Linked DNA regions of Coturnix japonica. The protein of the gene in region 2 binds, or shares a complex with, the protein of the main gene of each other region. Links are inferred from orthologs where the notes say so. Each region holds a gene or a part of one and is shown on either strand. Other genes may lie near its edges.

Evidence for each region.
Region 1: TAF8 (region 2) and TAF13 share a complex: the UniProt entries of both Homo sapiens proteins name them as parts of the TFIID basal transcription factor complex. The link is inferred for Coturnix japonica from reciprocal best matches to the Homo sapiens genes TAF8 and TAF13.

Annotation. Positions count from the first base shown.
Region 1 is NC_029516.1:74,704,878-74,720,246, forward strand, and holds TAF13 (transcription initiation factor TFIID subunit 13), read right to left. Parts: upstream 6,952-15,369; 5' UTR 6,846-6,951; coding exon 6,819-6,845; intron 6,727-6,818; coding exon 6,648-6,726; intron 6,559-6,647; coding exon 6,461-6,558; intron 5,133-6,460; coding exon 4,962-5,132; 3' UTR 4,514-4,961; downstream 1-4,513. Other genes in the region: NEPRO (nucleolus and neural progenitor protein), read left to right, coding at 699-775, 881-1,031, 1,346-1,410, 1,722-2,080, 2,342-2,403, 2,735-2,985, 3,385-3,763; GTPBP8 (GTP-binding protein 8), read right to left, coding at 8,555-8,639, 8,867-8,985, 9,592-9,691, 10,043-10,173, 10,320-10,418, 10,515-10,826; uncharacterized protein LOC107320010, read right to left, coding at 12,929-13,506. UniProt on the Homo sapiens protein: The TFIID basal transcription factor complex plays a major role in the initiation of RNA polymerase II (Pol II)-dependent transcription.
Region 2 is NC_029541.1:4,762,505-4,777,828, reverse strand, and holds TAF8 (transcription initiation factor TFIID subunit 8), read right to left. Parts: upstream 9,752-15,324; 5' UTR 9,728-9,751; coding exon 9,464-9,727; intron 8,510-9,463; coding exon 8,353-8,509; intron 8,050-8,352; coding exon 7,951-8,049; intron 7,732-7,950; coding exon 7,669-7,731; intron 7,319-7,668; coding exon 7,194-7,318; intron 6,897-7,193; coding exon 6,749-6,896; intron 6,370-6,748; coding exon 6,227-6,369; intron 5,767-6,226; coding exon 5,623-5,766; 3' UTR 4,199-5,622; downstream 1-4,198. Other genes in the region: PIFO (protein pitchfork), read left to right, coding at 921-945, 1,308-1,450, 1,776-1,874, 2,265-2,398, 2,694-2,820, 2,927-2,995. UniProt on the Homo sapiens protein: The TFIID basal transcription factor complex plays a major role in the initiation of RNA polymerase II (Pol II)-dependent transcription.

The DNA.
Region 1 (15,369 bases), on a different chromosome or scaffold from region 2:
TTGGGAGAGGGGAGGTTTGGGTGTGGAAGAACTGCAGGCTGCTCTGTCGGATGTTGCCTCTCCTGAGGCAGAAGCTGAACTCTTGAGCAGCTCTGTAGTAAAGGGGTTGTCATAGTCTTCAAACAACTGTGCTGAAATAAAACAGCAGTCCTTCTTACCTTCTCCATTCATTTGTTCGTTATCGTTGGTGAAGGACTGGTTAAATCCCAAACACATTCCATACATCCACTGTTTAGATTTCAGAGACTTCTGTACTTTATCCCCATCATGTTGCATTACCACAGTCATAGAATATCATGAGTTGGAAGGGACCCGTAAGGATCATTGAGTCCAACTCCTGGCTCTATACAGGACCACCCAAAAATCAGACCTCATACCTCAGAGCATTGTCTAAATGCTTCTTGAAATCCATTTATATGCTGCAGGAGAAACCATACAGTGCCAATGAAAAGTGATCTGCTCCTGCTCTTAATTTCCTATTCACAGTAAGGTGATAAAGGGGTCTCTGTCACAGTGCAGATATGGCAACAAGACCAGAGCACTGTATCACACAAACCTGAAGTCTGCTATTAAACTGATAAGGGGAAGGTGTCATTTAAAGTAGTGACTGCTCTTAGACAAGGGCATTGGTGTCTCTCAGCTGAAGGACTTCCCTTTTTTTTTTTCTTCCTTTTCTTTTCCCTTCTTTTTTCCCCTAGGTGGAACAGTGCTTGAAGCGCCTGTGGAAAATGAACTTGGTGGGCTGCATTGAAACCCTGGCAGAACTGATTCCCAGGTCAGTGCCATGACCCTGTATGCACTACTACCCATTGGTCAGCCTACGGAACCGAAGGAGGAGATGCTAGACCACAGACATCTCCTTGCCCTTGTCTTGCCACAGGAAAACTAAAGCCCAGGACCAAGCAGAGTGCTTAGTTCCCAGCCAGCCTATGCTGGAAACAGTGGCCGTGAAGGTGCTGGGAGGCTGTAAGCTCATACTGCGTCTGCTAGACTGTTGCTGTAAAGCATTTCTGTATCCTTTTTTTTGCTATGTAAATATTCTTACTGTTCACCGGCAGCACTTCACGAGGCCAAAGGAATGTCTGTGCTGCTGGTGGAGTCCACATTGCAATTCATTTGTGCACCTTGAAGATTCTTTGCTAGTCAGACATTTTATTTTCAAGTTATTACGTAGGAACCTCAGGCTGCTGGCTGGCTGCTGTTCCAGCCTTGAGCAACCCAAAGTTTGGATACGCACCTCCCGAATTGTTCAGGATATCGCCTTGTGAATTGCCCGTAGTTGATGGGCTCAGCAAGTTTCATTACATACTGTTTATTCTTTAACCTTAACTGGTGTAATCTGCAGCTTGTCTGTTCAGAAGAATTCATACTTATGAACACCGTGGCTTTGGGCATGTTGAGCCGGCTATGGTTTGTATATTTGACAATTGTTTGCTGTCTGTTTGACATGCCTGTCAGGGAGAAAGCTTGTGATTAGAGCGTTCTTGTTGAGTGAGCTTTATTCAGCTAGGAGGAGAGGGGAAAAAGATCATACAGATCCCTCCATCCTTTTGGACTCTGTTCTAGCACCTGAAGAGTTGTGTGAGTGGAGAATGTAAAGAGAGGGGCCTCTACTGGGGGGAGAACAAAGCTCTTCCCTTTGAGTTCAAGGCAGTTGTTCAGTGAGTATAAGCACAAGTTCTTGCTAGGAGAGAATCTACACCTTTGTCTTCTCCCTTCAGGATTCAGTACAGGTGTTTACTGCAGAACCTCATCTCCCTGTATGGCGTACTGTCAACATCGCTTCATCTGGTGTCTGAGACCCAGCAGATGCCCTACATCAAGGGATTTACCTTCCCTGCTGATATCGGTAGCTTTCTTGGAGTTAACCTTTCTGCTGAGGTGAAGAAACAAAAAGCTAAAATGCTTACAGCAAGAAGACCTACCGGCTGGCTGAAGAAGCTCTTCCCAACCACATCAGAAGCCGTATCAAAGGCTGGGAAAAAGAGAGGTTTTGTGACCTATGCGAGAGCTGTGAAGAACCACAGCATTCCTGCGGATGACATTGGAGAACCCGTTCTGGGGACCATAGGCAGCAGAGGTAAAGCCTTTTTGCCACAGCAATACTGGTATCTGAGACCAGAGACTGGCTACCGCTTTGTCCAACTTTGTCCAACAGAGCAAATGCTTCTGCTTCCCACAGAGTGTGGTTCTGGTACAAACTCCCCTCCTGAAATGCTGAGTACAGGCATAAGCCTGCTGAGACACCGGGAGAGCTGAGAGCTCAGCAGGGCAAAGCATTAGTGTGTTTGTGTGAGGACTTAAAACTCTTTACTTAATGGGAACTCTTCTCTTTCTGTAGAGAACCACCTATGGTTTGATGTGAAGAGTTTGCTTAGACCATCCAGACCTCCAATACAAGGGGTTTGTATACCACAGTTTTACACAAGATTGCTTTTATGTTGCTGTGAAGAGCCTAACACTTGAAATGTGTTACCTATATGATGGAAAATGTCCTCTTTCCTTGCCTTATGTTACCTGTCTAACAGGTCATTCTGTTATGCAAGCATTTGTTGGTATGTCAAGCGAAGTGACCAGAGAGGAAGTCAGAAGAAGTCAGTAGACAGGAATATAAATGCTCACTGTGTGTCTCTCCTTAAGAAATGCAAAACACAGTGCTTTGCTCCTCCCTGGCAGAGCAGCAGGCACCTCACCTTTTTAGAAAGCCAACTGTTTTTCTGCTTCTTTGTTTCAGGGTAGATGCCTGACATCAAAACCTTTTAATGAAACATCAGTGTCACTTTCCTCTTCTGTGGCAAAACTGCAGCGCACTGGGCCTCTCGTACAGATGTTTCAAACAGCTGCATCATTTGGTGAGCTGTCGGAGGCGCTCAGAAAAGCCATTCTGTGGTGCAAAGGCAACAAACTCAAATCAGAAGCTTACTTTCTGCGCAGCAAGTTGTTGAAGAGCAATCGGCTGCACCATGTGGAGGCACAAGGATGCAGGTATTCTGCTGAGCACAGGGGCTCTGGATCTGATAGTTTAACTTCACATGTTTTGCTACAATGTAGAGAAATGCTGTGGTCTGACCTATATATTTATTTTTGAGCTTGAGCACAATCACATCTTCAGGTCATTGGAATTGCTGATACAAGTATCTGTATAGCTTTGCTTGTGAGAGGATTTAAAGGGTTAATAAATGCATGAATATGTAATAAAAGGGGGGAATGAAAATGCAGCTTAGATTGTGTGCCTGCATAATGGTGTTAGATGATGTAAAGATGCTGTAGCATTTCCCGAGTGTGACAGAATGGCAGAGAATGCCCATATCTAGAGCTCTGAAAACACCATAGGTAATAGTAACAGCTGTAAAGTTCTCTCTTGTTCATCTTCCTTCCCTTAAGCTTGCAGAAGAAACTGCGCTGTGTCAAAATGACGCTCTGTAAATACCTCCTGTATGGCTCCCAGAACACGCGCTGGCCAAGGCAGTACCGTAGGGCATGGATCTTTGGAAGGAGGGCAGAATTCTCCAAGTGCTCAAAGAGAACTCTGAGGACTGTTCAGCAAAAACATTCGGAGCTTTCTGGGGACCATGTGAGCTGCATTTCACCCACTGTGAGGCCTTCGAGTCAGAAAGGATGTCCCATCATTCACACGGCCGCTGTCAAACAAAGTACAGCAGGGACTCCTAAGCAGCTGCTGTTAAAAGAAAGCCCCAGGTCTGTGCACGAAGATTCTGACAACGTGGATATTGACTCTATTTTTGCAGCAATGGGTGTCTGATTCTGGACTAGGAAGAAGAAACGTGTCTTGTTTTTCTAACTAGAACTTGGAATGCCTCTAAGTGTCTTGGTACCTCATACACTGAGTTCTATTAACAAAGGAGTAATGATCTTATTTTTGTAAACATTTTTGTTGTTCTTTTTTATGGAACAGTGTTCAAAACAGATGAGTAATCTGTATCCTTTTTACCCAGCCTTGTCCAGGGACAGCAGCTTGGAGTTACTTCCTACTCAGTGCCTTTTCTCTCCTGTCCTGAAAAGGTGTTAACCAAATCCTGCTGCTTTGGAAACAGGGCAAAGCACAGTTGGAGCCCGCAAGAGTAAACTTATCTGTGAACAAGTCCCCCAGTGTCCTGAAGTCTTTTCAAGTGTGCAGTTTTTGCCTGCTTGGCAATGTGTAGCTATTCCAGCACATACTTATTCCTTGCTCTAACATTATTTCACAAGCTTAGTGCTTTCCATCGAGCTCTTATTTGTAATTACCCGGTGATCCTAATCTTGTGAAAAAAGTTCTTTGAATTAAGTCAGATCAGTTTTATAGTGGAGCATCTGCCCAACAGGGGCAAGGCAAGGATCTGAGTGCAACTAAATCTGGAACAGGTTAATTTCAGTTCTCTAAGTGTACAGTAAAAACAGGAGAGCTGTGTCTACTAGGACAGAAACAGCACTTAGAGCTCATGAGATGCTACAATAGCCAACAATTTTTATGTGCCCTGCGTTAACTGATCAGTGTACGTGTAGTTACGAAGAGTGGGCACAGACTCGAGTTGCTTTATTCAAGTTTATGTACAGAGCAGAATTTGTAATAGTTTGGGCTTGACAACTTTGTCCAGTTAACCAACATCTATTTTCCAGGTTTCCTGTCAACAAAATACCTCGACATAACCAAAGTAGAGAAGAGCTTGTCATGGGCCTTGTAGATTCCCAATTCAGCTGTCCTACTGCAGACTTCTCACCTTTAAAATATCTTTAGAGCTCATTTCTCAAATTCCCATAATGGTATAAAAACACGTTAGGAGCGCCATGTGTAATCAGTTAACATCTAGCTGTTTGAATGCCTACCACAAGAGGCTGAGAGGCAGAGCAGATAGCAGCAATGATCTCCAGCTCAAATAACCCCTCAAAGCAACACACATGACATTTCTTCCTCTTGAGCAACAGGAGCCCACAGCACGCTCCAGTCAAGCCTGTACACAGAATCAAGATCCATAGTTTGCTTCATCAAAGGCCTTTCTGGCACGTTTCAGTTCTTCATTCATAGTCAGAAGGTCTTTAACTCTGGCAAACTTCCGGGGGTCCTTGCGGATTAGGAAGACAATGTCCTCAACCTGTACACGGCCCTGCCGTCCAATTGACATGGCTTTGTGTGTCTGCAAGAGAGAAACATCAGTGTTCCTCTGCCCCTTTTAGTTTTGTTTTCAGATCTCAATCCTACTGTATTTACTGACATTTTAAACAGTCTAGAAGGCAGCAAGTGCAGGATCTGGGCATTGCCATCCAAGTGCAGTACCTCATATACACTGGGTACCACTGCACACACAACAGGAATGTCTTTGGAACTGAAGGCAGACTGGGGAGGGGACACCTGATCTGCAAAGTGCTTGAGGAGCAACAGCATCAAGCAGAATCTGCATGCAGTATGCAATACCTGCATCAGAGGACAGTTTTTTTCTATTGAGAATAGGCAAGGCTAACTTCTCATGAGAAGGGATCCACAAACAATACCACTTTTCTTATTCTTTTTTTTTAACATAAGTGCTCAAGTTGTATCCAAATGTCTGGATCAGCAGTGGCTTTAGGGCCCAGATGGCTGCATTTATTTTATGGTGTGGCATTTCCATCTGTGTAAAGGCACTGAGAGAACACAAGAAGCACATAACATTTCAAAGCTGAGCCATCTGTCAGCAGAACACACAGCGATGCCACTGGGTGCCTCAAAGTCAGCTATGGATTTTTTCCCCTAACTGTTACTTAAAGCCTCCGAACGTTGCCCTAAATCCATGTGGAGTAAAATGTGTTAATTCTATCTTAATATCGGAAGGGCAATCACAGAATCACAGAATGACCCGGGTTGGAAGAGACCTCAAGGATCATGTAGTTCCAACCCGCCTGCCTGGCAGGGCCACCAAACATACACCTTTACTAGATCAGGTTGCCCAGGGCCCCATCCAACCTGGCCTTGAACACCTCCAAGGACGGGGCATCCACAAGCTCCCTGGGCAGCCTGTTCCAGGGCCTAACCACTCTCCTAGTGAAGAACTTCCCCCTAACATCCAACCTCTTATATCTGAGTTTAGATTTCTTCCCAGCAGCACACGAGTTTTTGCCTGGGATAATGCTGAAGGAATTTCATTGAAGCAGAGGGAGCCAAAGCATGCTCCCTACACCAGGTTGCACAGGTAGGAGTCCGAGTGGGTCTTGAACAGCTCCAGGGAAAGAGACTCCATAATCACTCTGGGCAGCCTGTTCCAGTGCTCCGTCACCCTCTCCATGTAGAAGCTCCTGCACACATTTGTGTGGCTCCATGCTCCAGTTTGTGGCCATTTCCCCTTGTCATATTGCCACATGCCGCTGAAAAGAGTCTGGCCTCATCCCTTTGCCTCCCACACCTTAGATATTCACAGACATTGATCAGATCCCCTCTCAGTCTTCTTTTCTCAAGGCTAACAGACCCGTGTTTGGCACACCACTGACTTACCATTTCAGTGATAAATTCTATCACCAGGTCCTCAAGAATATCCACAGATTCCGTGTAAGGGTTCTGGTCATCTCCAAATCCGTACATCATGCATCTTACTGCGGGAATACACACAGCGTGAGGCCTCCATCTGCTCAATGCATCAGTAACGCTCCCACCCTGAGCTCCCCCCCCAACCTGGACTCACGTTCTTTAGAGAAAAGCCTCTTCCTCTTGCCCTGCCCGCCGTCCAAACCGCCGCCGGCTTCCTCGGAGTCCTCCTCGAACTGAAGGAACAAAGCGGAGGAAGGAAGCCGTTAAACGGGGAGCTCCCTCCCGCCCCGAGGCTGAACGCAAACAACCCATCCCCGCCGCTCACCGGCGCGTCCTCCTCCTCGTCCGCCATGGCCGCCACAGCCCGCTACCGCTTCCGGTTTCCCGTTCCCGCCTCCCCTGGGGGCCGCCATCTTGTTGTGCCGTGTCTATAGCACCCAGGCTGTTTCCCACCCCTCACTCATCTAGTGTGAGAAATGCCTTGGGAACTTAGGCTATTCAAAAGATTTTTTCCTTAGGAAGACGAAGGAGAGGAAGAAAAAGGTGCAGCTGAGGTACAGGCACTGGAGAAACAAAACTTTACTGGACAGCAGAGTCAAGAAGAATCTATGGAGCACTTGCTTAATTCGATTTTATTTATTGCCACATCTGTCACAGAGCTTCCAAATCTTGCACATAACAAACTGAGGCCTTGAAGATAACAGCTTGGACTACACTGATGCTTTTGAAAGACACTGGTTTTAAGATACAAACACACAATTATTCCCAAAACATTGACTTGAGTGTTTTCCACCTCTCTAGATCCTACTGTATTTATTTCTAGAATCAGACACTCACAGGCCAGTTTGCTTTGGTGCATTTTGGGATTAGAAGCAAAACGGTAGCATGACATGCTTGATCTCTGCTTACATGTAGAAACTGGAGATCCACATCTCCCTGCTGGTTTCTTCATCCTGCCACTTCCTACATATCTGCTGGAAACAAACTTCAAGCCTAATCTGAGAGTTACAGGACATTCCTTAACGTAACAAACAGTAGAAACACCACCTTCAAGCCTCAGAGTGGGTTATGAAAGAATCACTTTTCCTTGAGATATAAACATTTAATGTAAGTTAACCTCAGCAACTGTATACGCAGAATTGGCAGTCTTAAGACAGGACAAGATGTGTGCCAGAGTGTGACACAGGCACTTTATTAGCTTTGGTCTAAATTGCTGTGTACAACTACTGCTATTTAATGGCAGTCCTTTTTGTACATTCTGTACCAGATGTGGTTTCCCTTTGACCTTAGCCAGGTACAGTGGCTGCAGGACCTCTGTGTTGTGCTTCAGCTCCCAGGGCAGGACAGATGTAGGTAATGGACCCATCTCTGGTAACTGAGCTGAGCGCAGCTGCAGAACTCACGTGGGATTTAAAACAGAAGGTTCATGCAACACTGAGTGATGATCAAGTGCAGGAGGAGAGAGTTCTGCTAGGTGTTGTTCATTCATCACCACTGTTTCAAGCCAACAGCCAACCAGGAGGCAGATCCCATAAAGTAGGTTTCCTTTTCCACATCTGCCCGTAACAGGGACAACCAGATGTAGACAAGCAAGGCATGCCATGCTATCACGCTGAACCTACGGAATGCACAATGCAGAGGAGTTACAATAGTGAAAAAAATACAAGTTTCCAAAAAGCTTTTTGCAAACAAAGCATTGACTGTTTTCACTCTGGACAGCCTTAGAGCAGGCAGGGTGCCCATACGCTCATTTAAACTGCTAGGTGTCATTCAACTCAACAAAGCAAGTACCTGGCTTCTCTCTGGAGGTTCTCTGATTATTTCTTTTCCCTCCCTTGACACAAACACATAGGTTTTGTGTAGTACCCAGGATTCATTCACAGTGATTAAGAAGTTTATTAAACAAAAAGCTCGCCTTTACAAACATTACTTTAGCCAAAAATTTATAAAAGTTTATCCAAAAATAATTGTGGTGCTTCAGGTTCTTACAACAACAATCCAGACCTCTGGTTTTGGTACCTTTTGTTCCAGATGAGCTGAGCAGATCAGGAGCCAGACTTCTCAACTGGACTCTACACTAGGCAGGTTTCCAGTAACATGGGCTACAAAACACCTTAGCAAGTGGACTCCCGAAAACTCCACAGAACTGTGGAAACAAAGGTATGATGTTCAGTGCTTGATGCTACAGTATCTTGAAGCAAGACAAGCAAACTCAACCACTTAAATTACATCCCCACATTGCAATACAACATTAATAGAGTAAGCACTTCTAATGTAATCAATTATAGCTAACACAGTTCCAGGTGAAGGTAGGTTGGTCAGTGCAAATCATCATCTACAAGGCACAGCAGCAAGAAAAAAAAAGAGCATTACCTGACCAGGAATAGCTGAGGAAAGCATCCCTGGGTTTTCTCCTTTACAAACTCCTGGATCCCCAGAACATTCTTTAACAACAGTCCCCTGGAAGCTCGGTCAATTTTTGTTAACACCATCTGTGTGGATCCAGAAAGAAAAGATTGCGAGAGGAAAAGATGATTTTGGTGCTAGCCTGGAAGACTTCCTGGAGCATTTCACTGCAGCCTTTCAATGCCTGAAGGGAACTTACACCCAGGAGGGGAGTAAACTCTTCGAAAGGGCTGACAATAGCAGGACACGGGGAAATGGTTTTAAGTTAAAAGAGGGAAGATTTAGGTTGGATGTTAGGGGGAAGTTCTTCACTAGGAGAGTGGTTAGGCCCTGGGCTGCCCAGGGGAGGTTGTGGATGGCCCGTCCTTGGAGGTGTTCAAGGCCAGGTTGGACGGGCCTGGGCACCTGATAATGTGTATGTTTGGTGGCCCTGCCAGGCAGGGGGGTTGGAACTACATGATCCTTGAGGTCCCTTCCAACCCGGGTCATTCTGTGATTCTGTAATTTTGCTACTTTGATCTATTTTATTATCAGTAAAGAAAGGTGGAGTAGATGGCATTACTAGTCAGGTAGGACAGCCTGCAAAAGCTCAGGTAGGGGGTACATTCCTTTATAGTTATATGGTAAAGGTAATTAACACAAGTCAAGTTTTCATACTGCTTCCACCTCCTCAAGAACAAAGCACTACTCACCACATAAGGAATCCCAAACTCCTCCAGCATCTCTACTGCAATAAGATCCGTGCTCTGGATTCCTACCACAGCATCAACTAATAGAAAAGTCCTCTTCAAGCTGTCAGAAATACAGGCGATAAAGGCAGCACCGTTATTTTGTCTTGCTGTGCTACTGCCAAACTCAAAGCAACAAGAAGAAATGTAAGATTTGGAGGAAGACAAGACAAGAAAAGCTGTGCATGGCACTGAGAGCTCAGCATGGAGCAGCACCTCCATCTGCTCTGCAGTTTTGATCTGTCTAAGCATGAGTGAGTGAGTGAATGAGGGTCACCACAGAGGTTCCCAGTGAACAACTTCAGACTCATCAACACGACCACTGAAAGCTGCTACCTCTGTGGTGTTTTATCACCTGATTACGTGAATCTGCATATAAGCATTCATCTCTCATTGATGCACTGAGGTCCCTTACTTGCGTCGCTCCTGCAGATAAGCCTCCACCATATCCACAAAGTCTTCTGGGGCACGGTAGCCGTACCCTGGCATATCCACCGAAGTGAAGTACTTCCCTATGTTGAAGAAATTCATCTTCTTTGTGTGGCCCTGGGGGGAAGATTTAGGAAGAAAAAGAAGAAAGAGATGCTAAGATGGGCAGCTGGGACATGGGAAGCGGTCTCAGTTCCATACCACCGCCTGGGTTACCAAGCAGCTTTTGGCCCAGAGGGAGCCAAGTTATAAGCGACACTTACTGGAGTTTTCGACACTCTGACCTCCACGTCTGGAGCCAACGAAAACAAGGCCCGGATTAACGACGACTTGCCCACGTTGCTCCGGCCGATGAAGCACACCTGCACTAGAGAACAGCGAGCACTTCCACACCGACCGCACGGCGCACAGCGGGGGCATCAAATCCAGCCCGCCCGGCCTCCCCGCCGCATCCTGACCTCGGGCAGAGCGGGCTGCGGGGCGTGCTCCATGCGGACGGCGGAGCTCACGTAGTCGATGTTGTGGCCGCGGCCGGAGGTGAAGAGCACCTCTGCGCGCTGCAGCGCGTTCAGCCCGGGCTGGAACAGATTGAAGGCCGCCTCCTCGGCGCCGGGAGCCAGGTTGCGGGCTAACCGCTGCAACGGGAACATGATGCCGTCACGGCGGTTCCGCTCCAGCTTCAAGACCTGCGAGAGGGCGGCTAGCGGTGGAGGAAAACCACGACCCGGCCGAGCCCCGGCCCGGCTCCGAGCCGCCCGCAGCAGCAGCATCGCGGCGGCGATACCCGGAAGGCGGAGGGCGGGGCGGGGAGGGCTCGGCGTTACCCAGCGTTTAACCCGTTATGTGCCCGAGCTTTTGGTTTGCATGGGATGCGCCGAGTGAACGGGAGTTGTATTGTGCTGAGTAATCGCTCAATCAAATAGTGTTATGTGCTCTGTGTATCTGTAGTAGTTTCCATGGATGTAATTAGAAGCCATTACTTTGGGAGCAACAGACGTAAGCGTTGCCCAAAACAATTCCCCTTCATTCTGTGCAGCCCAGGTGATCCAAAAGGTCGGACCCCCACGTAATAGGAGGAGCTTCCAAGACGTTGCTGTTGCTCGCTATGAGGAACCTGAGGAACCTGAACATCTGTAAGTCTATTGGTCCCAATGAGATGCATCCCAGAGTCCTAAGGGAATTGGCTGACAAAGTCATCAAGCCACACTTGATGATATCAAGAGCCAGGTGAAGTCCCTGGTGACTGAGAAAAAGGCAACGTCACAACCATTTTTAAGAAGAATAGAAAGGATGACCCAGCGAACTAATGACATGTCAGCCTTACCTCAGTACAGTGGAAGATCATGGAGTAGATCCTCCTGGCAGCTATTCTAAGGTAGGTGGAAGAGAGGGAGGTAATCTGGGATAACCAGCATGGGTACACCTAGGGCAGGTCCTGCCTGACCAACCAGGTTGCTTTTTCTGATGTCATAACTGCATCAGAGGACAAGGGGTGAGCCACTGCCATCTATCTGGACTTCAGTAAGGCCTGTCACATAGTTCCCCATAACATCCTTCAATCCACATTAGAAAGATATGGATTTGGTGGGTGGACTATTTGATGGACAGGGAAATGACTATGAGATCATACCCAGAGAGTGGTGGTCAATGGCTCAGTATCCAGATGGAGATCAGTGATGAGTGGTATCTCTCAGGGGTCAGTACTGGGAATGCTGCTCTTCAATATCTTCATCGGTGACATCAGCGCTGTGATCAAGTGCACCCTCAGCAAGTTTGCAGGTGACACCAAGCTGAGTGGTGTGGTCAGCATACCCATGCCATGCAGAGAGAGCCAGACAGGCAAGAACAGCGAGCCCAGGTGAACCTCATGATGTTCAACAAACTGAAGTGCAAGTTCCTGCACATGGGTCCGTGGCAACCCCCATGATTGCTATATTGCTCACAAGCTGGAGGATGTCAGGATGGAGCACAGCCCTGCTGGGAAGGACCTGGGAGTACTGTTAGATGGTAAGCTGGGCATGAGCCAGCAGTGTGCCCTCACAGCCTATAAAAACCAACTGTATCCTGAGCTGCATCCAAAGCAGCATGGCCAGCAGATGAAGAGAGGTGATCCTGCCCCTCTACTCTGTGCTGGTAAGGCCTCACCTGGAGTACTGTGTCCAGATGTGGAGTCCTCAGTACAGGGGAGACATGGAGCTGCTGGAGTGTGTCCAGAGGAGGGCCCCAGAATTGATCCAAGGGATGGAACACCTCCCCTGTGAGGACAGGCTGAGAGAGCTGGGGCTGTTGAGCCTGGAAATGAGAAGGCTCTGGGGAGACCTGAGAGTGGCCTTTCAAGTATCCAAAAGGGAAGCTATAAGAAAGAAGGATACAGACTCTTCAGCAGAGTCTGTGTTGACAGGATGAGGCAAGATGGTTTCAAACTAAAAGAGAAGAGATTTAGACTGGATATGAGGAAAATGTTTTTTTACAGTAAGGGTAGTGAAGCACTGGAACAAGTTGCTGAGAGATGTGGTAGATGTCCTGTCTCTGGAGACAGTCTAGGTCAGGCTGGATGGGGCTCTGAGCAACCTGATCTAGCTGTAGGTGCTAGATCAGATCCCTGCTTCATTGCAGGGAGTTGGACTCAAATGATTTTATGATTTTATTCTCTATACATCACTAGTTGTGGCAGTGTATCATCATCTGGAAAATTACACACAAGGACTCTTTTGTGATAGAGCCAGTAGGATGTGTTTAAATCAACTGCTGCAGATCTCTGTGTTCCATGGGCTGCAGCTCTCTTTTATGCAAAGAGGTAAATGAGAGTTTAAAGCTTAGATCTCAGGACTGTAATATCTTTGATGCTTCAGGTGGCAGTAACTACTCAAGGTCAAATATTCTCTGTCCTCTTTGTTGCTGTTGTTGTTGCTTGTGGTGATAAGTCATTTTTATAATGAAATACAATATTCTTCTGGTGAAAATAATAGAGCTGCTCAAATTCACCTTCAGTCCTGCATAACCATCTTGGGAAAGCTGCTATTGTTAGTATGCAAGAAACTTTCTTCTGATTTATCTGAGCCAGTAAAACGGGATACTTGAATACTAGGGTAGGATACCATGTACTTAAAACTGAGTGACTTTCTTTTATACAACATGAATTATTTACCAATTGTGTATTTGCATGGGTGATGGTGTCCATGGTTGCTTTAGAGGGAAAAAGAAAGCTGACAAAGGTCAGGTGGGATCTGCCCTGCATGTTATCTTTCTGCACAGTTACACTGGCTGCTTCGTGGATGTTTGCTTCATCTGCCTGAATGCTTTGACACTGTGATTGGCTGTGGCATCTCACATTGCTGACTGAAGCATACAGGGAGTTTCTTTCATCTGTGCTCAGGTGCTGAGTTAGAAGTAGCCCTGGATGGCTACGCACATGGGATATGCTTTGGCTTTCATGGGTTCCTCTTCTTTCTGGAAAACAAGACATCAATACCATCAACATGAGGCCTAGGAACCTGTGTGAGCACATGCTGATCTGGCTCTCGTGACAGATTCTGAGATGACTGCACGTGATGTGAAATAGCACCAGAAGCTCTCAGAAACTTCTCTAGGTGTGACCAAAGTGGTTTTGCATGTATCACATCTTGCGCATAGCTTGCATAACGGAACATGCAGTGGTGAAGAACAGCCAAAAGGAAAAAAGGAGGCCAGCAGACAAGCAAGGCTGATGACACAGTGAAGAAACCATACAATGTAGTCTAAAGTGAAAAGTTATTTTAGGTACACCTCACCTTCAAACAGGGAAGCTGAACAAGAGACACCCTGACAGACTCTTCCAGTACCTGAAGTATGAATTTACTCTGCCAGAGTCCTGACAGAATGAAGCGTTTCCATTCAGTGCAGCATGCAATATAATGAGTATCCCTTGCCAACATCTAACCAGCTATGGTTTCTACTCAGTGCCATTATTCAGTGAAGATGTGAGCAATGCACAATTACTGCAGTAGAAAGTCAAAATATTTGATATGGTTAATTCACCCACAGTAGTTACCCTGAGCAGCACAGAGTGACAGAATTGTTTGATTTCAAGACACAAGCAGTATTTAGAGGTTTCCACTAACACCAGACAAGTTTTCCTTAGCCCCACATTGTACGTACCTGTAACCATGGAGCTTTGAATAGTAAATGGCAGCTACAAAGGTGACGATGATCAGGAAACCAACAAAGATGGCTGTATGTCGTATGAGGTGTCTGTGTGCTAAACACAATTAATTAGTCTTAGTTGTGCCTTCTTACTGCTCCGTTTCTTTAATATTTCAGTATAAGCATTAAGCTGCTCTAGCACATGCATTTTCAGCATGCTTGTGAAATAGAATCCTCTTTAGCAAAAGGGAAAGTCATTAATGAAAGCTGTCTGAGAAACAAAAATGTAGTTTGTGTCAGAAACAAAAACGGATGGCCCAGATTCCACATTGGACAACTCATGACACTTATACACTATGAGCCACTCACAAGGACTCAGCGTATCTCCATATTGTGATTCATAACTCAGAATGAAGTTATTCATTTGTTTCTGCTCACCATTTGCTATTTGGTCTCTATCTTACCACGATCCGAGCAGAAAATCATTTGCATCTGAACAGATTTTACTGACAGTCTGGTTCCACATGGTTATTTTAACAGTAAGAGCATGTCTGCTCTGAGGCTGCTTCCTACAGCTTTCCAACTACCAAAAGAACACTAATGCATTAATGTACTTCCCTATTAGGGAAAAAAAAAGCACTTGGAAATAGTGACTGGAACACAAACAAACTGTCAAAGTTTATGAACAAAAGTGCTCTGGGATGGCACTTGTCTTTGTAGAATTTCACTGTAGGTGTCTGTAGCTGTAGAGCAAGAATGTGAACAGAGGGCTAAACAGAACTTGAACACTGAGCACACAAAGGGAAGCTTACATGGGAAGCAGGCTATGGACTTGGTCTCGTTCAGAGTTGCATGGGACACAATGCAGGTAGGATTCTCCCCACTGGTGCTATGTGCTGTGAACCTGCTGACAACAGTCACTGTCCCGTTATCGTGGCTGTCTGCTCTGGGTGTGGAGTTGCTCTCTGGGACCCACCAGATCTCAGCAGCTGGCTTCACTGTCTCTGCCTCGCACACAGGGTTCCCATGGTCATCGCAGTACAGAGCCATTCTTGGGGAAACTGCAAAGTACCAGGAAGGGGGAGATGTGTGTGGATTGCTGCAAAGGGATAGGAAGTATCCCTGGACATGGAGGTAGGCAATTCACTACAATACAAGGCTGAATTAGGCTTGTACCATGCAGCCATTACT
Region 2 (15,324 bases):
GGCAGACTTTGAGGGGCACAGAGTTTAATAGCAGTTCTGTTAATGGCAACAGCAGAAAAGGAGAGCTGACAAACTAATAAAACAACCCTTTTCCTGCTCTTCTTTCAGACTGTGTGTCTCTACCTACAACTCAGCCCACTACTACCCCCACTACAGTTCTCTGTAATACACATGGAAGTGAAGGTGGAAGTGAGAGCTCAGGTAGTAATCCCGACAGCTCAGATGGGAGTGGATTCTGTGCTGGCAAGGCCAATGGCATCTATGCAGATCCAACCAACAAGAGCAGATTCTACAACTGCAATAATGGTGAAACCTTCACGGAGACGTGCCAGGCCGGTCTCGTCTTTGATTCCAGCTGCTCCTGCTGCAACTGGGAATGAAGCAAACACGCTGCTCTGATCTAACTCCATGGAAAAATGATGATAAATAAAGTGTTCTTCAAAAGTAACGATGCATGCTGCTTTGGCTCATCTTGCTCATACTCTTTGGATGCTCCCTGGTTCTCACAGATTTTACAACTTGTGCTGAGGGATGGGCCCAAATCCAGAAGTTGGGCTTCATTCCATTAGTGTGTTTTCCAGGAATTTCTTGCTGTCTCACCATGACAGTCAGACACAGGGAAAAACACAGGGAGCACATGACACAGAGCATCACTATGGCTGAGAACACACAGTGAAGGGTCCTGGCAGCACCATCTATAAACTGTTTTGCCAGAGACGTCTCCACCGCTAAATTTCACTGTGCAAATTGCAACTCATGGGAGCAGACTAAGCACAGTGTGATCCTTGGGGCTTTTAGCAGAGCTGCTCCTTTTCCTGAATACTTCAGCAGCTCCTATTGCCAGTATTTCCTCCAGCACCCCTCCCCGTATCTATAGCAACTGCAGTACACAGACTTCCTTAAGCGCCTGATATGGCAGCATGTTTGCAGAGTGGCAGCGCAGAGGTAAGCCCTGTGAGGTGTGCACACCAGCATGGGGTACAAGCATGGGCCACAAGCAGAGGCTACACGTATGGGCTACAGACAGGGGCTACAAACATGGGCTCTGCATCTCCAATAGCATCGGGCTTCCCCAGCATCCTTTCCTGCTACTGGGCTGCTATGCACCTTCTTGCCCAGGCCGGGGAATAAGAAGTCTGTGGCAGCAGGAAATAGTCATTCAAAGATCTGTCCCCTCCAGGATATCCAGGGACAGCTGAGAGATAAGGCTCACTTCAGGAAGCAGCAGATGCCTCAGGACTAAGAGCAGTGGTCATCTCCACCTGTGTGAATCACACTGATCACATTCTCCTCTCCTGGTTTCACAGCTTCACAGAGGCGCATTTCGTTTCGGTTACTCAACGATCAGGAACTCTTCCCTCCCGACCATGCTCCAGCCAAGATCGCAATCCAGCCAGAAGCCAGCACAGAAATCCCCACCCTAGGACCAGGCTGTTACCCGAGTCAGGAGGTAAGTTTGTCTTTTATTCTCGGAACTATTCCTTCACAGAAGACATATGTTATAGGAGTAATAGTAAGGAGGAAGTAATAAGTAACAGGTAATAAGACCACAGCCAGCCTGACACAGCATACTCCATGCCTGCCCTGTAAAGACCATTGTATAAATCTGCATATATACCTAAAAAATAATCTCCTAGAAAAGTTACCTTCTAAATGTACTGGTCCTCAAAGCTGCAGCTGTCCTAATACTATAAATTAGTGAGAAATTAAAGGAACAGTGTCTGCTGCTCAGGTACTTCTCCTATTCCTTTGATGCTTCTGCTTTTTAACCACAGGAAATGTGCCTCAGATACTCTTTTGGAATAAGGCCACTGAGTGTGAAAGGCTACGTGATAGGAGCCAGAACAGCACGGAGATTCATACCAGAGCCACGGGTAAGAAAAGGATGCTTCAAAAAGGCAGGAATTTGTGGGCAGATCTATCATAGGCTGTAAGTAATGATCACATGCTGGGCCTGCCTCCAGCTCAAAGTAACAGGCAAAATCAGGAAGGGAGCTGAAGTTGTACTAACAGAACAAACCTAGTTTACTGGCACAGCTTCTGAGGATTAACACTGTGTCAGGAGAGATGTCACAGGATACACTGGGCAAATAGCGGGGAGCACAGATTTGATTTATTCTGCTCTTTTTATGCGATCAGTGTAGCCAAAGCATGCACTGAACAGCAGGTCTGCAGTGCCGAGCTAGTTGGCATTAAATGCTCTGATTAAGAGCATCCAGAAATGGTTTGCAGAACAAAATATAGTGATTTTTTTCCCCTTGCAGACTGTGACTCCTGCACCAGGAACATACCAGCCATTCTGGACTACAGAGAGAAAACACCAGCCTAACTATGCTCCATTTTTATCTAAGACAACACGATTTCCTGACAAGCCTCAGAATAAAGAATTTTTCCCTGGGTAATATAACTCATTTTCTTAATATTCTAACAACAAGCGGGGCTACTAGGGGAGAGAAATACTGAGACAGAAATGGAACTGAGTTCCCAGTAGTGGTTTCTTGTTTGTTGGTGTTTCTGTTTGTTTGTTTGTATCTTCAAAAGGCTCCTTTGCTTTAGTCTCCAACCTAAGATGATGACTAGGAGGCCATAAAATGCGTTTTTCTCATAGGTCTAAGCAGGTCTGGTTAATTCTCATATTGCAAACATCGTGCACCACATCTAGAAATGAGATACTTTGTCTCTGTTTTCTTTAGACCTGGAACTTACAATGCAGACAAGCGATTACACAAAAACATCACTTGGCCAATGAAGTTTGGAGCTCCAGATTGGTCATTAGTGCCAATGCCATCAAGGAGGATGCTAAGAACAGAGGTTCAGAAGGTATGGACAGGGATGAAACATTGGCTGAGGGTCAGGAAAACCACCTGGTAAAGCAGCCTGCAGTTCTCAACACCACCTGGTGTCTTCCTGTGCTCTTTTCTTTCAGCTGATTGCGGACAGAGAATTCATAAAGCATCGGAACCGTGTGGCCTACCTGAGTTTATATGAGAGCTGAGGCACACATCACGTCAGCCCCATGCAGCAGAGCCTGCCCGTGGACACGTCTGCCTGCAATATTCTGCCTCCTCAAATAAAACCTGTTCAAAGCAGCATTTCTGCTTGCTGATTTTCATTGCCTGACCTGGTACATGGTCTTTCCTGACTCTGCAGGTGTTTGGCATCACCAGGACCAGCATTCAGCACTGCTTCCCTCAGCTCCTGGCCCAGGTGTATGGAGTGCTGAGAATGGCCAGACCAGATGGCCATGCCTGTGCTGACCAGCATTGTCCCTATGCACATAAAGAGCTTCTCTCAATCTATGAGAACCGTGTGAGGCCACAAAAATAAACCTAGTGTGAAACAGAGAGGTTCTGGTGTTTGGCTTCAGGTGCTTCTGTAGCGTGAAGCCTGTAGAGACTGCTATAAATATTTACAGCTCGGCTGCATGCACAGTGATCAGATCTCAGGGGAAAACTGGGAACTCACAATATTTGTACTTGAAATAACTACCAACCACAACACAGCCTTTCCATTTTTTGGGTCTGCTTAGCTGCGTCTGTGGCAATTTCACCTGCAGCCCAATTTTGACTATAAAAATGAGATACATTCTTCCAGTTTTCCACTTTCGGGCTTCAAGTGCAGCTGCTGACAGCCTTTATTCTCAGTGCACAACCCTCCCAACCACACAAGGCAGCTTTGTAGCTGTAGCTGTCAGAAAGGGATGCTGTTGCTGACTCTCAGTTGCCACTGTTGATGAAAAATCTTCAAGGAGGAGGTGTCATTCCCTGCAGATTATGGCTGTAAAACCTTTTTTTAATGTCTCTGCTTCCAGCTCCACCACTGCAATCATGGCTGACAACGTATACTTTATCTTTCTTGAGTTTATCATGAGGAGAAAAAACACACACCAGAAAGATGTAGAATCAACTAAAAAACACCAAGGATTCTGCAGTCTTTTCCAACCACATGTTCCACTTGTGACAGAGAAAAAAAACTTCTTATAAAGGGAAGTATTCTGTCCTCACTGAACACACTGTGTTGGAAAATTCCCAACCTTCTCAGCAATCAAACATCATTGCAAAGAAAGGAAGAGACGCAGCAGCAGAATAAAGACCTCCTACATGTTGGTGAGAACTTCACCAGACCCCACTGAGCAAACATTCAGGCTCCACTCGGGTGTTTTTTTCCACTCAGTCTGAAATTTTATGGACTCAGTCACTTTTAATAGTAGAAGATAAAATTTCTTTTATTAGGAACATTAAAGATACTATTTTCATTCCAGATTCTCCCCTATCCAGAAAGGGATATTTTCATTATGAAAAACACCTAATCCAAAGTAGAAAAAAAAAAGATAAATCCTTTTATATACATACACACATATATATATACATCATGTCTTTGTACATTTGATTTTCTGTACAACAAAGGCACTAACAGAAGTGGCAATGGCACACGCAGGACTAATTTTTTGCTAAAGATGGCATTTCAAATAGGTTAACAGGAATACTTCCATTCTTGCTGAAATAATTCCTCCTCTTCTTCCTCCTCTCTGGGTGATATTATATATAATATATCTGTGTATATTTTCCCTAAGTAAAGACTGAACATAAAGTAAAGGAAAGGCCTCCAAAACTGGATAACAATTAGAGCAATCCCACCAGCACTCATTTTCACAGTTGAAACAAAGTTCCTTATCTAAGGAAAAAAAGGAACAACAACAAAAAAGAAACAAAAAAGAGCAACTTTTGTTGATTAAAGCCCATATCTGAACAAAGACAAAATTTAAAAGCATGATCAATAGCACAGCCCTGCAGACTGTAATCGATACAGCTTTATTCTATATTCCAAGCTTTGCAGCAAGCATCTTTCAAAACAGCTGGTGAAGGCATGAACTCTCAAAGGACTTGTGCTGCATTGAACCTAACAACAGAACTAGAAAAGAGCCCGAGGCAGCTGTTGAATCCTGCCATTGGTACTGCTAGAAAATAACCTCAAAGCAGAGTAGGGTAAACACCACACTCAGCACTTTTAAGTTGGAAGTGCAGCTGCAGTCAGAAAAGCTGAGAATAACTCTCATCTTAGCTCTGTATTTACACTTCACTCTTTGATAAATGTGTTTGCTTTTACCTGCCAACAATCAAAAGAAAGAAACCTCTGTGGGATTTTTCTCTCTCTCTTCATACATGCACCACAGATTATAAAGCCAAACAGGGTTCACTGCAGAAGTTTCTTTTCTAGCTTGTAAGGCAGCCAAAAACAAATGATGTCTTTGTGTTCTGTAGAGCAGCAAGAATCTTTTTGTCCTGTGCCTCTTAAGAGAGTAAACCTCCTCAACAGTGAGAAGAAACCAAAGCAAATGAGACAATTCCCATCTATAACCCAGTGGCTTTTACCATTTTTAAGGCAACTGACCACTGAGCATTCCCAGTTAGGAGGAAAGCAGAGGAGGAAGAGGGAGCACTGCAAACAATGATGACAGTGTAGTTTGCCAGGCAGACAAAGATCATTCCTCTCCTTCTGCCATTCGGTCAGACTGCCTCCTCTGTCTTGCTCCACGCCTCATACCCACAGCAGCAGAGGTGACTACTCATAACAGCCAGAGAAATGGGCTCCTCTTCCTTCTAGCAGCCAGCTGACTACAGTTCATTTCTTTCTGCGGATCTTGGGCTTTTTCACTGGCCGGAGATAAGGATTGTCTATCATATTCTCCTCCCCATTCCGGCTGCCAGACAAGGAGGTGTTCTGCTGTAATACTGAAGAATTCTCTTTTTCAGGTCCTGAATCATCCTGACACAGGAGAGAAAAAAAGAAAAAAAAAAAGCATAAATAACCAAAGTTAGTCTTAACAGGGCTTAGAAGTTCAAACCACAAAACACATGGGAGAAACATAATCAACAGCCAAGATAAACAGAAGCAAACAAAAAGCTGCACTGAAGGTGAGAACTGCAGATTTTTAATATAAGTAGATCCCCTCTGAGAACAGCATAGAATAGCGTGATGATCCTCTCTCCTCTAGCACAGAAATAAAGGTTGCATTGAAAGCTCGTGATCCACCATTAGATAACCTCAATGTACAACATATTTTGCAGAAAGTTAAACAACCATGACAATGTTAGTCATTTACATCCGGTAAAATGCAACCTACTTTGCCATTTTCCACCCCCTATGCTCAGCTGCAAGGAAGGCAAAGAACCAGGTTTTATATGTTTAAGAAAATCAGGCCCTAGAGACCTGAGGGTGGGCGTACCGTGCTCATATGCAAGGGCAGGTTCTCTGTGTCTGTCTGGTCGTCTTGCTCGGATGAATCTGTTTCTTCCATTTGCTGCATTTCCAGCTCCGAGGGGAGAAGAGCCGTCAGGTAGGGTACGGTGAATGGCCTGGCAGCAATCACTAGTGTTGGGGAAAAGCATGCAGTGAGCAGGAAGGGAGACAGATCATCAACTCAGCACTGAGTTGACAGCACTGGGATAAGGGAACGATAGGATGTATCAGTCAAAGCCTTCACCACCATCACAAGAAAGGGGGAATTTGTTTAGAGTAGAAGCCAGTGCTGTCTGAATTTCTGTAACTTTTGCACAAGTCATTTATGAACCCAAGGTTTTTATGCCTGTTTAAAATAGAAAGTCCCTCATTTCCTTCCCTTCCCGTGCTTCAGAAGGCTGAACACAATGTGATCCCTCAGTGCCCACCTCCTGCAATCACAAGAACACCAGATGTACACTCTGTTAGAGAACTGTCCTTTACAGCACAGGTTTCCAAGATAACTCACATGGGAATGTGCTAACATCATCTTTGAAGAGACTCTGTGTTTCTCCTGTCTTAGCCATGAAGCGGGTGAGAGCTCTTTCCACGTCACGCCTCTGAGATGCTGCCTTTTCCCGTAGGACTTGATAATCGGACACTGGCTCTCGGTACGTCTGTAGAGCAGGGATGACAAAACAAGTACAGTCACTAGATTCAGTGAAGACAGATCAAGTTCAAAACACTAATAGGATGCAGGCAAGCACTGACCTTCAACATGTGCACGTTTTCAAACAGCTACAGATATCAGCTATAAAACTAGAGCAAGTACAATATGCAAATGACAAGCATTGTGCCAAGGTAGCAGAAACAATGTTCAGGAACAGCACTACAATAAGAATGCACATGCACCTTTCCTAACATTACTGACTTCAGACAGAAACCAAATGGCACAAAAGTCTTTTTTCACTCACTGGTGTCTTGATGTAGGTGTGAGGATCTGGAAACTCAGGGAAATAGCCAGGGATGTGGGATGGATGTGGCTTGTTCTGTCCAGCTGTCAGGGCTTTGGGAGTCACGGGCTGATTTGTCACAGGAGCTATGGTTAAAAAAGCACATGCACTACATGAGCATATGACACAAGCAACAGTTTCAGGTTGTATTTGGCATCCCAAAAGGGAACAAGGCTTACATGACCCCTCCTACACAAGGAGAACCACCTTGAGGATTCTCATGTGCAATGAGGATACTGAAGCAAAAGCAACAGGTTTGGCAAAGGACAGACACTCTCCTTCACCTACTACATCATAATTACAGGAATCTTTAACACAAACTGAGTGCCCCGGAGCAATGGACTACACCATCCATGAGAAAAGCAGCAGCTCTCTGGATGCCAGCAGATAGAAAAGACAAATGGTTTCCTGCACAAGAAAAGGACTTCTCACATACGGGCAGTGATCACCATCCTCTGGGAGCGCTTTGCATATGCAGGAAGTGTTTCAACATTGAACCCTGAAATACAGAAGAAGAGAAAAATGGAATCACACCAAGAAGAAAGAAAATAATGTACTCTGTGTGCATACACACTACATCAACAGCAGTGATACTGGAGCCTCTGTGTGCAACCCAGAACAGCCGACATCACACAACTACACCAGGAACAGACTGTCATGGCAACACAGAACACCCACTGTATGTATGTGGAATGAGTGAGATGAGTCAGCTACTCACCCATCTCCACTAAAGTAACAACTATGTCAGACAGCGTGGGCTGTGTTCGGGCTGTATGCTCACAGTAGGACTTTGCACTCCTTCCAATTTCAGAAATATCTGGAGGGGAAAAAACCACCAACAACCATTACATGTTCATTTTATTTTATTCACATTCCATGTTCATTTCAGGCAGCAAACACACATTTGTGTCAGCACAACACCTGACTTTTGATCAAATCTAGTGTCATGGTTTTATGATTTTTGTTATTGTTATTGCACATCATAACATCATGGAAAGCACCGGGAGTTAAAGAGTTAAAACAAAACCAAACAAACAAACGAAAAACAGAAAGAGCGAAAGCAAATGTGAACCGATTTCAAGGTGATTTTGCCCTAAATCTGGTGGCACCCGACACTCACAGCTCTGTAACATCTCTGTCAGTGTTTCCACCGCAGCCTTCTCAGCGCTCTCAAAGCCGGCTTCAGTGAGCAAGGAGCTGACCACCACCTGCAGTGTCCTCCTTCGGGCCAGGTAGTAGTTATCTGCTGGCGTGGTCGTGTGCTTGCTGCCCGACCGCTGTGGACACAGACCCCAAAACACTGAACCTGAGCCCCAGACGAGCTGCCAGCACTCGCTCTGTGCTCACACATTGTCCCTGCACACATCACGGGTGTACATACACAGCACCTACCTACACACAGTACAGACCCACCTACACAGACACACATGTACAGACATACACACATGAGGACTGCTCTGAAAGTAATGCCTCCTATTTCATGATGTCGACATCAGGGTTAGATGTTGGAGGCGGGGTAAAGGCTGAACCTTCCTGCCAGCATTGTGTACATTACATTGTGTACATTACATTGTGTACATTACATTGTGTACATTACATTGCTGTGTGACAGGTGGCAGCAGCTGGACATAACGGTGTGTAATGAAGGAGTGTGAATGAAGCACAGAATCACTGTGTTCCTGGATGAGGGCAGATGCTTCTGGAGACAGAGCAGCCGCTGTGAGCACAGTGCGGCGTGTTCCAGTGATAACAGTGGGTCACTCCAGCAGTATGAGTGCAGCATGCAGCTCTTCTCCAGTGCCAATATGGGCAATGGTGGTGACCGTGTTAAACAGCAGTGCTTTCCAGATGTGCAAACACCTGATCACACAGTATGATTGTGCTGTACCTGCTGCAGCTTCCATGCGAATAAATAGGAGGCTTTACCTTAGGAGCGCCCTACAAGCAGTGCCTGTCCATACTCATATCCCCATATTTACACACGTTCCCCCATAGTCGCTCTGTCCCTTTAAACGCTGCATCAGAGCTCGGACCAATCACAGCTTGCCGCCAAGCCCCGCCCCCACGCAGCCATGCAGCCAATCAGCGCCTCCCTCCGTTCAGCTCCCCCTTAAAGCCGCCGCGCTCAGCCCGCAGCCGTTAGTGTCCCGCTCCCGGTGCAGGCCGCGCCGCTCCGCCCGGAGGGGCCGTTCCCACAACGACCCCGCGGCCCGACGAGGAGCCGCCGTTACCGTGCCGGAACCGCCGGGCGCCGTGTCGGCCATCTTGGAGCCATAGAGCGCTGTGCGCATGTGCGGGGCGGTGGGGCCGTGCGGCGAGGCGCGCGTTGCACTGTGGGGGCTGTAGGCGGCTCCAACATCCCCCACAGCCCCGCGGTGCGACCGGGACGGGACAACGACGGGATGGTGATGGGACAACGATAATGGGACAACAACGATGGGACGGCGATGGGACAACAACGATGGGACGATGAGCTCCGGTAACGGCGGCTCCATGGCGGGGCAGCGGCCCGGCCCGGCAGCGCTGCACGATGCCCCGAGAGCTGCGAGAACCTGCAGCCCCGCCCCGCGATGCCGGAGCCGTGTGGAGAGTAAACAACAGCCAGGAGCGGGACGGGACCGGGCAGCGGAGCTGGTGGATGGTGAAGGTACGAGGCACATAATGGGTGGATGGAGCGGGGAGCTGCTGCCATAGTACGGCCTGGGCCTGAGCTGCCGGTGTGTGAAGGTGCCGTTGTTGTGGCGGTGTCAGCACCCAGCTCTGCTGTGCCCGGCGGGGTCGGTCCCTCGCTGTGTTCGGGGCTGTGTGTGCTGTGCTGGCTGCTGGAATTGGTGGCAGTGATTAACGGAGTGTGAGGGAGCACAAGGAGCTGGGAATGGAAGCGCTGTGTGTGGTGGAGCTGTGACCTGCTGGTTGATTGTGGGGCGGAGTGATGTGCGTTATATGGAGGGATGTGGCAGCTGGGAGCTCAAAGCAGCCGAGTGAAGCTGCTGAGAACAGGCTCAGGCTTCATGTTGGGTGGCTGCATTACTTGGTTTATTCACACGTGGGAGCTGTTGGATAAATGAGATCCCAGCCCTGTGCTGCCCGGTTGGTTTTCGTTGGCTTTGTGGGTTTTTTGTTTGTTTGTTTTACTCTTGGGAATACTTTTCCCCCATCCCACAGTATCATACACTTCAGAACAAAGCTGTTTCTTTGTACACAGGGTGTCTCTGAGGAGGGGGTAGCAGGGGAAGCCCTGCAGTGAGGGCTGCTGGGTGCTCTAGTTATTGGTGCAGAGCACTGTGTTATTTTGGATTCCAGTCCTGGCTGCATCCAGCCTGCTGAATAACCAGACACAATCTCTTTGCTCCTCTGCACGTTTTTTCCCATCAATAAGTACTGCCATGCCTTGTGAGCTGCTCTCAGAACTGATAAAGTGCACCCGCTGATGTTACAGTACATAACATAACATTGGTGGTGGTGTCAGCTGGAGCCCTTGGGTTCTAACCAGAGCACTGCAGTCCCTTCTAAACTCAGTTACAAACTGAAAATCCAGAGCCTGGTGGAATTTTCCTCAGCTAAATATGTGCAGAAGTCCCTAAAATCACAGGTGCTGCATCCTGTTTTATGGCACAGGTACATCATTCTGTTATGCATGGCTTCCGTTTGCCTGGCAGGGTGGGAGTGGGAAATGCTTCCATAAAGGTCTGGCTGCTCAGTGATGTCGGGGTTTCTTGTGTGTCTGTGAAGCAGCAGCTGCTCGCAGCCACCGGAGGAGACTGGCCAGCCAAGAGGAAAGGGGTGAAGTGAAACAAGGAGAGCTTCAGGGCTGTGCTGAAAGATGTTGCCAGGGATCTGATGTGGAAGGGAAGGAATCTGGAAGCGAGCAGAACCATGCTGGCTGTTCGTGTCCATAGGTGGAGGGTGACATCCTTATTTTGGAGCCCATGTGGAGTGGGAATCGATGTTGCTGCTGGAAACGTTTGCCAGTTTATGGTGCCAGCTTCCTCTGCAGTGCTGTGAAATCAGTCAGCTGGCAGCAAAACAAGGAGATGTGGGATGGTGGGAGTCTGTGCGCCTTCCTGAGCATGGGGTTTTTTCCCAGAGATTGGAACGCTTCCTTTTGCAACAAGAAGAACTTTCAGATCGGTCTCAGACTGAGAAAGGAAAGAAGCTCACGTGTTTTTACAGAATTTCATGCAGATTATTTCAAAGAAGATGTAGGAGGTGGGAATCCCAAGTCCTTATTGTGTCACCCCAGACAAACATTAAACCTCAGAGAGCTACAGCTGAATAGTTATTCTCATACTGACGGTCCCAGGGGGGAGAAGCTGTGAAGCCTGTTGAAATTCAGCCTTGTAAAGAATGATGGGAATGGATGACTGTCCACTCTTTGGTAGGGAAAGCCCAAGGCTTTGTCAGTTCTGAACTGGGCAGTGCTGGTGAAGGGGGGGCTGCAGGGATCTGGTGTGGGAACCTGGTGTTTGAACCTGGTGTTTCTGAGCAGCAACAGAGATGGGTAGGTGGAAATTGCTGCGGTCGATGTGGGGGTGAACTTTTGCATGTGCTTCTGTCCCCCAGCACCACTGCCACCAGAGGGCACGTTGTCACCATGTGCTCTTACTGGCTTATGTCAGAAGCCAAAATAGCTAGCAGCGAATTCATTTAGACTCTTACAGCCCCCTTACAGCAGTCAGGATGTCACCAAAACCTTCCCTGTGCCCATGTGGTTCTGAAAAGTGAAGCCCCCAAGCTCCTTGACTAATGCATTGTAAGGGTTGTTGCATAGTATGATAGTGACAAGCACTTGATGCACAGGACAAGGGCAAGGAGGGAATAAGCTGTACGTCTGAGAATGTTTCTCCTAAGGACATTGGCCTGTTGCTTGCAGAGATCATGACCTGAATGCAGTGAGGCTGTTGCTGCTTTGCTACTATTGACAAATAACCTCCTCTCTAAAGCAACAGTGGTGTTAATGTTGGCAATATGATTGTGTGAAGTAATACCCTGTGGACTTGTTGCTTGCTGGTGGAGGAGGCTGATGTCTTGGCAGAAAGCACTGCCCTGCCTGGGCTCATGGGATGGGGATCTGTGCAGCTCTGCTGGGTCACTTCTGGAGTTCACATAAATCTTCTCAAAATTATGTTGCATGTGTGTAAGATGGAGTTTCCAGAGTGCAGGATCCATCTCGGTGCGTGAGTTAGGTGTTCCATCCTTGGAGTTCTGAGTAAAGCTTGAAGCCATTTCATCAAGACTACAAATAGCCCCAGTGGGAGATCCCAGGAGCTTTCTTTTGGCCTAACTGGAGTGTCAGAACATCTTTACTGATTAAAGTGGGCCCGGGGTGGTTGATATCCACTGGACTTTTTATTGTAATGCTATTTAGCTGATGTAAAAACTGTTCTTTCCCATCCCATTAGCTCATAGTTGTGTTTGAGTCAGTGCTGTATCTAATCCAGCAAGCATGTAAACCCACACTTCCAGGCTGTCCAGAGCCTCTGCTGCCAGGAACTATTGCAGATTCCAGGTCAGCTTTTCCTGCCTCATCAATGACTCAGTGGATGTTCTGCATTTTGTTCCTTCTGTTTTCTTCAAACCTTAGAGCCCGAAGGTGATGAGGAGATAGGCTGAGCTGGTTGCTGGATCAACAGATGTAGAGTTCAGATGCAGAGTTTGCTGAAAGAGAAGCAGAGGAACAGTGTCAGGTGTGGTGATATTGTGCCCTCCAGATCCTTACAGGTGATACAGCTGGGCCTGTGCTGGAGAACATAAGATCTCTGCCCAGTCCCGTCCACAAGCTGTCATTCTTTGTCACCACCCTTGCTCTGGCAAACTGCAGCTACCTCAGGTGTGCCAGATGCTGGATGCAGCAAGCACTGATGCAGTCCCTTGCTATGGAATATGCTGTAAATTAGTATTTTAGCAATTAGTGGCAGAGAGCCAAGGGCATGTACAGCAGAATGTGCATCTTGGTGCTGGAGCCTTGCTCCTCACCCCAGGCATCTGTCTGTCCTGTAGATGTCTTCACATTGCTGGAGGAGGTGCTGCAACAAGTAGGTTCAGTCACTGGTAAGGCAGATGTCAGCAGTAGAGCTGGGCCAGGATGATGTGCCTGTCTGCTTTTTGCACGCTTCCCTCTGTGGCTGCAGCCTGCCAGTGGAAGCCATGTCTGCTCTGAGCCTGAGCTGCATTGCCCATGCCTTTGATATCTTGCAAAGAGCAGGGTGTTGCTGCTGGCCTAACAGGGTGATAGCCTTACCTCAAAGCATGAGCACTGCCAACCTGCACAGCTCAGCAGAGGCCACTTACCACATTTGTGTTCCTTACTGCTTTCTCTGACAAATATCTGTTGCTTCAGGAAACCACACGTTGGGTGTTGCCCTTCCAGGGTAAGGGTGGGGGAGAAATCCTGCTCCCCCAGGCACAGATCCAGCAGGGGTCTGGGATCCTGCTGCTCTCTGGATTGGGTTGGGGCTGTCTCCTCCAGCTGAACGAGGTGAATCCATCTGTGTCATCCCCAGGCAGGGAGCTTATGGGGCCAGCAGAAGCAATTCCTGCATTCGATCATAAGCTTCTGAGCTGCAGTTGTGCAAGTTTGCTTATCCCAGCTGGGCTTGGGATCCCTCTTTTGAGCCCTTTTCATTTCTGCAGGACAGGAAAGCTGTTTGGGTGGGCTGTGAAGAGCCCCCACTCCTCAGCTGGGGCTCACGCAGTTGTTTAGCTTTGCGAGAGTGGTGTTGAGTGGGGTTACCATCACCTTTAGATACCTGTTAAATTCTGTTGTGTTAAGAATGTTGGCATTCCTGAGCAAAGCACTTCAAGGAAATGCATCCGTCCCAATGGGAACCCAGGACTGAATCCCACCAGGGGTCTTCAGCACTCCAGGCTGGTGGTGTAGCATCAGGGCCTCCTGTTAGCCAGGCTGAGCTGTTTGTCTCTCTGGGGGCTCCAGAAGCAGCAGGGACAAGGGGTGAGGCAGAGATAGAGGGTGGCAACAGCTGTTCAGGATGTGTTGCTGATTCTGTGACATCTCCCACCCTTTTTAGAAATTAAGAGTTTGGAGCAAGACAGAAAGAAAGAAGAAACAGCCACTGATAAAGCCTTGTGGGTATGACAGCCCTGTTCTTAACGGCCTGCAGTCTGCAGCATGTCTCTGAGCACCCATGCCATCTGGGAGGCAACGATAGGCTTCATTGCTTGCTCTGGCTGTTCATCTCCCTGTGCTGGGCATGGAGATGGATATCATTTCCTTTCCTTCCTTCTCTTCCTCCTATGTCTCTGCATCTTCTCAGTGTGAAGCCCTGTTAGCTTACCTTGGCTGTGCTGTAAGGGGCTCCTTGGGCAAGGAGGACTGAGAGCTGGGAGGACACGCGGTGTCTCACAGTGTGTGTGTTTCCTCCGCCTCAGCTACAGCAGGGTCTGTTTTAACTGAGTCTTTGAGGGTCTGAGAAAATGAGTTCCCACACCCCAAACAAGGATCCTGTGGCTTTGGGGTTCACAGAGGGCTGCAGGCCATGTTTCATGTGCAGACAACTGTTACCACATGCCATCTTTTCTTTCCTTTTTTTTCTGTAACGAATGGGGTCCTCACATCTGCTTGTGGCGGTTAAACAGGCTTGATTTAATCACAGACTGATATAGTACGCAGAGAGAAAAGAGGGGAGAGGGGTGAAAAGCACAGAGCACCTGCTTGCCCCCAGGCAGCGTGCCCTGTTCAGTGCCATGCTGTGTGCATGTGCCTGGGGCCTTTTGCAAGGTTTGCCCCCAACCTACTTATTGATGAAAGCACATTTGACATGTGATAGATCCCAAGATTAAAAAAACAAAACAGGAGAATATAAGCAACAGCTCAGGAGAGGAAAACATCCTCAAAGAGTTGACTAGGCACAACCAGGGTGTCTGGTGTCTGCCTCAGGTGCAGTGGGAAGGGGCTTCCTGCTGCCAAGGGTTAGTGACAGATCTCCTGATGGGCTCTGGAGGCCTCTTGGCAGAGGTTTTGAAATCTGATTTTCTTTCTGCAGCCAAGTGAGATTTTTATCAACTTCCTATTTGAGAGCAGAAGTCAGCTGGTGCAGGAGTGCTGGCTTGTGTCCTCCTGCCTCGTGCCTGT